2 linked regions of the Caenorhabditis elegans genome follow. The protein of the gene in region 1 purifies or fractionates together with the protein of each later gene. This does not show direct contact. Each region holds a gene or a part of one and is shown in the gene's direction. Other genes may lie near its edges.

The links.
Region 2: the proteins of K02E10.7 (region 1) and rnp-5 fractionate together in Caenorhabditis elegans (co-fractionation; one large-scale study listed by BioGRID). This does not show direct contact.

Annotation. Positions count from the first base shown.
Region 1 is NC_003284.9:2,500,197-2,506,941, reverse strand, and holds K02E10.7 (Protein kinase domain-containing protein), read left to right. Parts: upstream 1-1,784; coding exon 1,785-2,009; intron 2,010-2,576; coding exon 2,577-2,696; intron 2,697-2,741; coding exon 2,742-2,802; intron 2,803-2,995; coding exon 2,996-3,111; intron 3,112-3,164; coding exon 3,165-3,332; intron 3,333-3,651; coding exon 3,652-3,888; intron 3,889-3,944; coding exon 3,945-4,178; intron 4,179-4,230; coding exon 4,231-4,296; intron 4,297-4,347; coding exon 4,348-4,515; intron 4,516-4,560; coding exon 4,561-4,683; intron 4,684-4,730; coding exon 4,731-4,845; intron 4,846-5,384; coding exon 5,385-5,581; 3' UTR 5,582-5,955; downstream 5,956-6,745. Other genes in the region: rabr-1 (RAB family), read right to left, coding at 6,292-6,390, 6,462-6,559.
Region 2 is NC_003281.10:852,102-855,719, reverse strand, and holds rnp-5 (RRM domain-containing protein), read left to right. Parts: upstream 1-1,810; 5' UTR 1,811-1,811; coding exon 1,812-1,894; intron 1,895-1,941; coding exon 1,942-2,583; intron 2,584-2,635; coding exon 2,636-2,780; 3' UTR 2,781-2,919; downstream 2,920-3,618. Other genes in the region: tag-51 (uncharacterized protein), read right to left, coding at 310-936, 987-1,290, 1,337-1,481; moma-1 (MICOS complex subunit MIC27), read left to right, coding at 3,324-3,590.

The DNA of each region.
Region 1 (6,745 bases):
ATCATGCTTCCCGCTACTCCTGCTTCTCAGAACGATGTGAAATGTGCTTGTGGCATTGAATTTTTAGTGAGAGTTCGAAAATCCTCTTGTGAGTTGGAAACGCATAAAGACATGCTCCCATCTGTCATTCTTTCTTTTTTTCTACTCCCCCCTTGACCCGTCACAATTTCCGTTGCACTTTCAATGTCTCTCATCATCTTCATTTTTATCGAAGCAGTCATTGACCCGAATGTTAGATTACTTGATTACTCACTTGCGCTCACGTTTTAAAATTTTGTGCTTGAAAATGTTTCTGCTCTAACTATATAATTTGTATTCAAATGTACCTTGAAAAAGCAGAATCAAAATAATTATAGGACACATGAGTCAGAATCTATTCCAAACATCAGTGCAAGATAAGCTACATTCTTGAAAGAAGAGAAAAATGTTAGTGCTCTCTTAAAAGTGCATCCGCATCATCCCTCTTATTTGGCCAGCAGCCGTCGTTAGCCAAGACACACAAAAAAGTGAAAGAACTATGTTTTACTCATTTCAATAAAACAGCCTTCTTTCTTCATCAACCCCGCCGAGTATGCACTTTCTGACTTGATCCCATCGTCATTCGCACATATGCTTTTGAGTTCAATTTTATTTTCTCTTGTTTTCATTGCTTTATTCTTTAAAATAGTGCGGTTTGCTGAAATTTGTTTGGTACTTGTGTATTATATCCCCACCATTTTAAATGAATATTTAAAAGTATTAAAAAAATATTCCTATTTTCCTATTTTTACTTTAGCACAGTAAGTAGAAATTTTGAATACGATCAATATTTCTCTTCTTGTAGCTGGAATAATTGCTGGGTAGCACACTCAAAAGTTTATGTCGTCAAACTAACTTTTCTAGTAATTTGTGAAAACTGCGCAAAGTAAAAGTATGGCTGAATTCCTAAAGAGCTGAAATGACCAGATATAAAATTAAACTTTGCAAAAAAATTTTTTATTTTTTATTTTTTTTTGTTTCAAGTTAAATGAGGTAAACCCTAGTTATGACCAATTTTTAAAATTTATATTGGATTGCATTTTTTACATTTTCTTTTTTATTTCCGTTCAACTTCCTTGTGTTTTTTCGCGGGTTGGAGCATTGAATGTTGATGTGTGCTTTTTCACCGTGCTTCACACAAAATGTAGGCGGAGATTTTAAAGTGGAAAATGGTGAAGAAGCGCGCCGTCACTATAGATATTCGTTGTGTTCTCAAATATTTCCTGAACAATGTCCCCGCACTTTAGAATTTTGCGAAGCGAAAAGTGCACATTTTATCTCAATATTATATCCAAGGTCTTAAGTAACTTTACTAGTTCTGCGTCAGCTACAGTAAGACGATACAATTTCTAATCTGCTTCTAATCTGTTTCTTGAAGCGATGTTGAGCACAGAATTCAAAAACGTCTCATTTTGTCGAAATTAGAGTATTAATCATGAACTGAAACTGAAAAACTTACATTTGTGTTTTGATACTTCTATGCCCTAAGTTCAACTTTGCAACAGCTTTTCGTAATCTTTTCTACTGAAGCTGAAAAGCTTGCATTTGTAATCCATCGTTTTACATATTAGAAATACGACAAATTGGTGCTAATAGGATAGATTCGTTGAATAGTCATTATTTTCATCGTTCAAAACCACTCTATTTCGCTATTTAAACTCAAAATCAAGTTCGTTTAAAACTGGAGCACGAGAGAAAATAATTTCTGATTTCCGTAACAATATTTGCGTAAACTAGCTTAAAGTAATATTTACTAAAACTTTCAGATGAAGATGGAATGTATGTTCCTCTCAAACCAAGAATTAGACATACCCATGGAACTCCAAAAATGCTGTATGTCCATTGACCATGCATCTGAAAGTGTTATTGAAAGACCAGTGGAACTAACGTGCCTGTCCAACGTCGTGAATGGGACGGGAATCAGTGACAAAATCGCATCAGGTCGTTTTGGTACAGTCTTCTTAGGAACTATTACGGATTCAATGTTACAGGTATGTACAAAAAAAATTTTCGGCAAACGGCAAATCGGCAAAATGTAGAAATGCAAATTTCCGGCAAATCAGCAATTTTCCAAATTGCCGATTTGCCGAATTTGCCGAAAATTGTGGTTTTGCACATTAAAAAAATTAAAACAAATTCCTCTAAAAATTTCCGGCAAATTAATAGCCGGCAAACGACAATTCGGCAATTTGCTAAAAATGAAAATTTCCGGCAAATGGGTGATCAGTACATACCTTTTTTAACTTTTATAATAAAACAATGTAAGGAAATTACGGAATTTATCATCAAAATTTCTTAAAATATTGCATATTCTGCTGCTAAACCCCTGATGGACAGCTAAAAAATACACATTTTTCACTAGTGTTTCTATACAATTATATGTATTCTTCAGTTCCTTTTAGTTCAAAATACCTATAGAGCTTTGGTTTATAATTATTTTTAACATTTTTTGCACACGCTATTAAAAGTGCAATCCAAGGTCAAAAAATTGAGCAGGTGTTACAACGTTTGACCGCTTTCAGCTGTTTTAGTGTCGTTATTTCAAAATTGAATTCAAGGTTGCAATCAAAGAGTATCACGAAACATTTCATGATGCCGTGCTAACTGCACACGATGAAGGCTCCACTCTTCAGAAAATAATTTCTATCGAGCATCCGGCTATTGTACAGACTTTCTCGGTGACTGATATTTGAAATTTTTGTACTTATTGTTTTTTTTTTCAGGTTTCTCATTTTCAAGATATAGTGTATAAAGTAATGGAGTTCCATTCTTGGACTTTACACGGTAAGGCATGTATCAAAAAGTTTCAACATTTTCGCTACTCCACCACTATAATGTACTTTTCAAAAATAGAGTTAGTGAGTAACATTGATTAGTTGCAGAAAAACGTGTGTACTTCGAAAAAATTGATCGAACGAATAGTAGGATTACTTTCTACTATTGTATCTTTTCATTCTCTAAATGTTAATCTTTTCAGACGACATTTTGGACAAAGGCAAGTACGACGAGTCCCAGACTAAGCTTGTATTGGTACAAGCCACAAGAGCTCTCGAATATTTGCATGCACAAAATCTTTGCCATGGGACGCTTCATGTAAGAAACTCGGAAAAATTAGTGATATACGCAATAGGTCAACGATTTTGCAGACAAAGAATATTTTCTTGCAAGAAAATATGGTCAAAATTTCGGATATTGAAAGCTCCCAATTTTTGAACTGGCTCCCATTCAGCCAAACACCACTGCACATTCTTCCATTTATTGCTCCAGAATTGCACAATCAGTTATCAGAAGTGACTTCTGAATGCGATTTATGGGTAAAAACTACTCTTATAGTGCTAAAAGGACCAAATATCAAAGTTACACTTTTAAAAAAACTTGGGAAGTTTTTTAACAACTGTCAAAAAGTGACAATTACTTAGATTTTGCCAGTTATATTTTTGGAAGTCAACCAAAAAAAAAGTTCTACAATATTCAACTTTATATTAGTTTAAATTGCTCGTGTAAAGACATTCTGGATTTTCTTAAAAGTTCAAAATCAGCACCTTGCCAAAACTTTGACTGGAAATTCTTAAGAAATCTAAAAAATGTTTGGAGTGTAATAAATGTACTTAAACAAAATCCCCATTTATTCAGAGTTTGGGTGTGTGCATTTTTGTTATGGCTACTGGATCTTGTCCGTTCATTTTGGAAAGCCGCAACACTATGATGGAAAGTATTCAAGCTGGTATCCTAGGTTCCCCCGTTCTTGCCAGTGACAAAATTCAATCGCTAGTGGAACAGCTGATTCATGTAAACCCATCTGAACGCATGTCACTTAAATCTTTAATTGAAGATGATTGGATGACTTCTGACCTAGTTTGGAACTATTTTGTAAGATTAAAAAAAACCATTTCAAAACAGCATTAGCTACTATAATAGTATTCCAGATTTCATGTCATGAAGATCTCATTAGAGAGTTGCCAGTAGTTGATAGATTCATTCCGGCAGAGTCCCTGGAAAAGAGCACAGTTCAGAGAGACGGCTCAGAAATCTCCATCGAAACCTTAGATGAGGGCTACAAAAGTGTAGCATCAGATCATCCAGAAGAGCCAGCTGTCTCTGGAGAGCAACAAGTCTTGACTGAACCTGTGCCAAAAAAATATCACAAAAAGTTTGCAGTGGTTTGTGCACAAATTTTTAAATGGTGTTCAAAAAAACAGAAATATTTTCCAGTTTGCAATGGAAAACGTCCGTAAGGAGTGGGACAATGACATCACTCGCATTGAGAAATGCAAACTGGTATGTTTTTTTATTTACGAATTACGATGAGAACGAAACTGATATTTTCAGAGAGACGGAAGCATGTGCTTGAGAATCGTCATTCCAGCAAAAGATGAAATTGCCTCTTCGTCAATTTTCAATCGCATAATAAAAAGCCGTTTGGGTCAGACGATCAAGCGCTTCCGATCACATCAAGATACTGTAGTTGATTCGGATTTTGGAGATTACGCACTTATGGTAGGATATAATTATTTTTGTCATCTTATGGTTTTTTTTCTTCAGAACTTCCGCAGAGAAAACACCGAGATTGAAGTTGCTCGAAACATGCCAAAGTTCACGAACAAACAGCAAGTTCAGCTCTACTATTGCAAAAAGGAAGCCGAACGTGTCTGGGAAAATCTGGCGGTGAGAGTGTTTTGTTTGGGTAGTTTTAAAATCTGTATGATTTTCAGATAAAAATTTGCATGCGATGTCGAAGAGCTGGAACTGATGCTTTGAATCACGACGAGGATAAGTGTCTTTATAAGCTGATTGCAGAAGCTGTGGAGAGTGAAGAAGTGATTTATTGTGAGTTGGAATTTAGATAATAATAGAAATTCTGATTTAAAAAAAATGTTTGAAGTTTAATGGCTCAAACAGAGTTTCAGAATTAATAGTGGGGAAAATTATTAAAAATCAAATTGCTAAAAATGGCTAAAATTGCTAAAATGACCATTTATCAGTTACTCCACCTTTAACAACATTCCGAAAAATATTTTTTTGTCGACTACCGTAATTTCAAGTTTCTAATTGTTTTCAAACACAATTCGTCTGCAGCAAAGATTTCTAATTTTAAACCAAAAATGTCGAGAGCATTGTTTAGCTATACAACGAAACGTTTCAAAATATTTTGGAAAATTGGTTGTATGTTCTAATTATATATTATAGGTTCAAACCAGTTACATTGCTTTAGATTTATTGAAAAGTGGCCAACATAGTGAGTTTCACTACCTCTTGAAAAATGTTCAAAATTTTTTAGAAAAAATTTGTTATGGTATTTGATCATTTTAGCATCATAAGAATGGGTTTCAATAATTTTCTTATTTAATGTTGCTATGTCGTTTCAGATGGCGCAGAGGATCAATTCAATCTCCGTTTCTTCTCTCTTGTCTACAGAAATGACGGTGGACGTGCATCCGCAATGACTCGCTTCCGTAGAGGTTCAATAAGAGTTCTAACCTCTGGATACCGGAGAATTGTGAAACGTTTTCGACGACAGTCAACTTCTGGATCTGGTTCTTCTGGGTTGGGTTCGGACAATTGAAAATAAAAGTTTAGACGAGATTTTTGTTTTCATAAGTTCTAATTTTGTTTCTATGTATCGCTTTGTATGTAAATGACATTTTTTGCTCTGTTAATAAGTTGAAAGCGTGCAACCTTTTCGAGTAATTAATTCAATTCAATGTTCAAAAGAAAATCGATTTCTATTATTCAATTAAAAAAAATTTCTACCCATCTCAATATATGCACATTTTTCCAATTTCTCATGATTAATTGTAGCTATTACTGCGTTGTACAACACATTCCAAAAGTAATATTTTTTCGTATCGTATGCTGCAACCTCATATCCATATATTCCATCTCTCTTTTTTCTCTCTGTGAATTGTATAAAAATAAATATTTGAAAATTACAATTTATCAATCATAATAGTAAATTTAAACTTAATACCCGAAATTGGAGAATTCAAGATAAAACATAGTGACGTTCCAATGACGTCATGAAAGTGCAAATGACCAATGTAAAAAAAGATGATGAGGGAAAAAATATTGTGCTAACAAGTAAGAAGCATACAAATGTTAAGGGGGTTTTTTAATTGCACCACATAACGGCAGAGCACCTTGAAATGGTTTTGACAAGCACACTTAAAAATAATTAAAGCACGTTTAAAAAAAAAGATTATCAAATGATCGAAGTGTTTTATCGAGATTGTGATGAATGACTAAATGAATGATATGTTTAAGTCAAGGTTTAAATCAGACAAAGGCGGGTTCCGGAGCACTTGCACAGCATGATGTGAACTTCCCTTTATCGCTTTTGATGACTCCGTCAACGTGGAAGGCCGATGAAAACTCCTAAAAATGGCATATTTATTGAAAGATAATTAGCATATAAATTGCATCCGGATATTGTCTGTCTTACTAACCTCGTTGTCATCCGACTCATCCGAATGCATACTGCCAGCCGTTATTCGTTCTCTCATTGCAGCTGTCAAAGTGTGAAATGCTTCTTCGCAGTTTATCCCTGGAAAACGACAATCAGTGTGGAAAAAATAAATCTTCAAGTTTCCGTGTTTGTTCTCACGTTCTAGAGGCGGAAAAGTGCCAGTGAGAAAATTTAAAAAAAATCACTTTCTGAGAAAACTATAGGACTTTGGCATGTTCAAATCCCTACAATGTTTGATTATTTATTATCGCAACATAAGTAGAC
Region 2 (3,618 bases), on another chromosome or scaffold:
TATAGCATACCTAACTGTGGTCTGCTAAATATTTATCATACCTAACTTTGGCCTGCTAAATATTTAGCATACCCAACTTTGGTCTACTAAATATTTAGCATACCTAACTTTGGTCTGCTAAATATTTATCATACCTAACTTTGGTCTAAATGTTTAGCTGACCAAAGCAGACAGACTGTCTCGATTTATTGAAGGAGAAAACGAAAAGAGAGGTAAATTTGCTGTTTATTGAGCGAAAAATTTGGATCTGCCAAGCATTCGTTTTGGGCCTGCTAAATATGAAACTCTGGAATCCAGCGGAAAACTGACAAGTCTTCATGCTGATCACACTGGTTGCGAATTTTACACGCAAGTTCCACAGCTGTCACACATCCAGCTCCAATATCATCTGACTTGGATTCCTCTTCTAATCGCTGAGCAGTCACCAAGAATCCTTGTGCATTTCCATTACTCCTATCGTACTTGGAAATCATTTTCCAAAATTGAAAAATTCGTTTTCCACGTGGATTTGTCGCTTGTGGAGTAAAAATTGAATAGAATTCTTCCATTTCTTCCTGGGAGCTGGACCAGTTGAATGCAATAGCCACATTGAGTGCTTCGTTTAGAAAATAAAAACCGTCTCCTTTGACGTGAAGAGCGCGCATTTGAAGAGTATTCGCATGGGCGAGTTGTACAATTTGTTCATTTTGAAGTGGAAATGTCCAGTTTTCTAGAACCGTCTGAAGTGCGAAGCTGCTAGCTTCTGGTGCTTGAATAAACGAATCTCGCTCTTGAAATATATTCTTAATGTGCTCCGTCAGAAGGTCATGCCGTTTTTTTGCACTATATCGAAAATTTCGCAGGTGTCGATGATTTGAGAGAAGATTTTCGAGTCCTTCGCGGTATCCAATGAGGAACAGGTGAAAACAACCAAGGCGCTCTTGATTCACAGTTTTTCTGAAAGAAATTTCCATTGAAAAGATAAAATTTTAAAAAAAATCACTCACTGGACGACTTCATTTGCGAATTTCCTCTGTCCTACAGTGGCGAGCGATGTGCTGGCATACTGAGCAAGATTCAGATGTCTTGTAACTTCTGATAAATTGTTCAATACTGATGGAAGATTTCCGGCTTGTCCCACATCTCTCGAAGCCGCAATTGCTGCGACACGAAGCGGCCCATCCGTCTGGCTCAACTCAAATCCTTGATGAAGAAGTACTCGAGCGTACTTCTCGACGATTCGAGAACAATATCCACGTTTTCCAGAAAGTGGAGTGATGAATTCGTCAAGAAGCCTAAACCATCTTGGTTCTGCAAAAGAATTTAGTGCTAAAATACTTTTTTGGGAAAAAATTACCTTTTGTTTCAAATGCTTCCATCCATCGAAACTGAATTTCACGCTGATCAGCGTTATTATCGAAATTTTGGAATTCTGCAGAGTCGATATATTTGATTTCTGGGAGCTCTTCTTCTTCTAAAAGTTCAGATTCTGCAGAGTCCATTTTGAAATTGAAAAAAAAAACGAAAGTGTTTTGTTTTGCAACGACACTCCGATATTCCACCGCGCGCGTTGTTTACCGTAAATCATTCACCCGCGTCTCTTCGAAAAATGATTCGATATTTTCAATTCTATAGTTTTTCTATAGGTTTTTTCTTGTTTTTCAATTAAAAATTTATTTGAAAATCCGTAATTCTTGTTTTTGGTTAATTATTTACTCAAAAAAGTAAGCGCTTTAGCCAACATTCTGTCTCTTCTTCTGCTCGAACACCACGCGGTGAAAATTTTCTTACTTAGTTGATGTCTATTCGAGTATATGAAATAATTTTTCAGTATGGTTGAGAAAGAAGAAACCAAAAAGAGGGCTCGCTCGTCTTCAAGCAGCTCGTCCAGTAGCTCTGGATCGTCATCTTCTGGGTATGCTTTACAATTTTCATACAATAGCTTAATAATCGATATTTCAGAAGTAGTTCATCAGGATCTCGCTCCTCCAGCTCATCGTCCAGTGGCCGTTCTCGTTCTCGCTCACCACGTCGTCGTGATACCCGCCCACCAGCTCGTGGAGGACGCTCTCGTTCTCCAATCCGTCGTGGTTCACCGCCAAGAGGAGCACGCGCGGATCGCGATCGCCCAATGCGACCATCACCATCACCACCACGTCGCCGTCGTCCATCCCCATCGCCACCACGTCGTGATCGTCGTGACAGAAGCGGGAGCCGTCAGAGGAGACGCGCTTCTCCGAGGAGAAGCCCAGCAGCAAGATCAGCCAGTCCGGCCAAGCGTGTAGTGATCAAAAATTTGAGCAGAAATGTTCTGAAAACGCACCTCGAGGAGATTTTCTCGATCTACGGAGCCATCAAGAATGTCGATCTTCCACCAGATCGCTTCCATAACCATGTTCATCGTGGATATGGATACGTTGAATATGACAATTTGGAAGACGCCGAAAAGTCGATCAAGCACATGGATGGAGGACAAATCGATGGAATGGCTGTTCACGTCGAAATGACTATCGGACGACAATCTGTCCCATTCCAGCGTAGAAGTTCTCCATTTAGAAGACGCTCGCCGCCACCAAGAGACAGAATGTCACCAATGAGAAGAGGGTAAGTAATCAAGGAAAAGTAGTATATTTTGATAATTTTCATCAAATTCCAGAGGCCGCAGTCCACCACCACATCGCAGACGTTCTCCAATGGGCGGCCGTGGCTCAGGAGCCAACAATATGCCACTTGGAGGGCCCAACAGATTCCGCCGTGCCAGCCGCTCTCGTTCTCCAGCCGGCAGAAGATCGCGTTCTTAAACTTCCATTACTGACGTTCCATTTTAAAACCCCATTCTAAACTGTCCAAATTCTGAACATCCTTTGTTTATTATTCTTCTGTTTTGTTATGCAAAAGATCTCCCCAATTTTCGTTTTTTTAATAAATTATTTTGGGTGTTTTAAGGGTAATTTGGATTGGTTAAAGACATGGTTAATTGCCTGTTAATTATCTATTTTAATTTTAAAACCGTCCTCAGAGGGGTTTAAATGTTAGAAAATATTTAAAAAAAAAACAAGAAAGCCTGGCGCGAAATATATAGTAGCGCAGGCGTCGGTGTCGATTTATGAAAAAGTGGTAATTAAATACAAAGAAAATCAATTTTAAATAATTGTTTAAAGGCGCATCGTGAATAAACACAAACTCCGTAAATCGACACAGAGCCTGCGCTACGAGATATTTTGCGCCACAAATGTAGGAATACTTATTTCTTCATGGTTTTTTAATAATTATAATAAGCTAATCAATTTTAAAATATTTATTCTTGTTTTATTATTTTATTGTTTTACCGCTTGATTTTCCAGATGACACAAGACAAGCCGATTGTGGAGACAATTTCAAACGCCGGTGAACAAGTGACAAATGTTTTTGGACAATTCTGGCAACTTGTCACCTCGAAAAACACGACGAATAATGGAGATTCAAAACCTATTAAGATTGAGCAACTTCCGATTTATGCTGAAGATAATGCTCCACTGAAGCAGAAATTCCTTCCAGAAGAGCCACTTCCTCTTCAAAGAGAATTCGCGACTATTCGTATCGCATGTGAGCAGGAGTATGATCGTGTTGCTGTGAGTTTTACGCGATTTTATGTGGAGA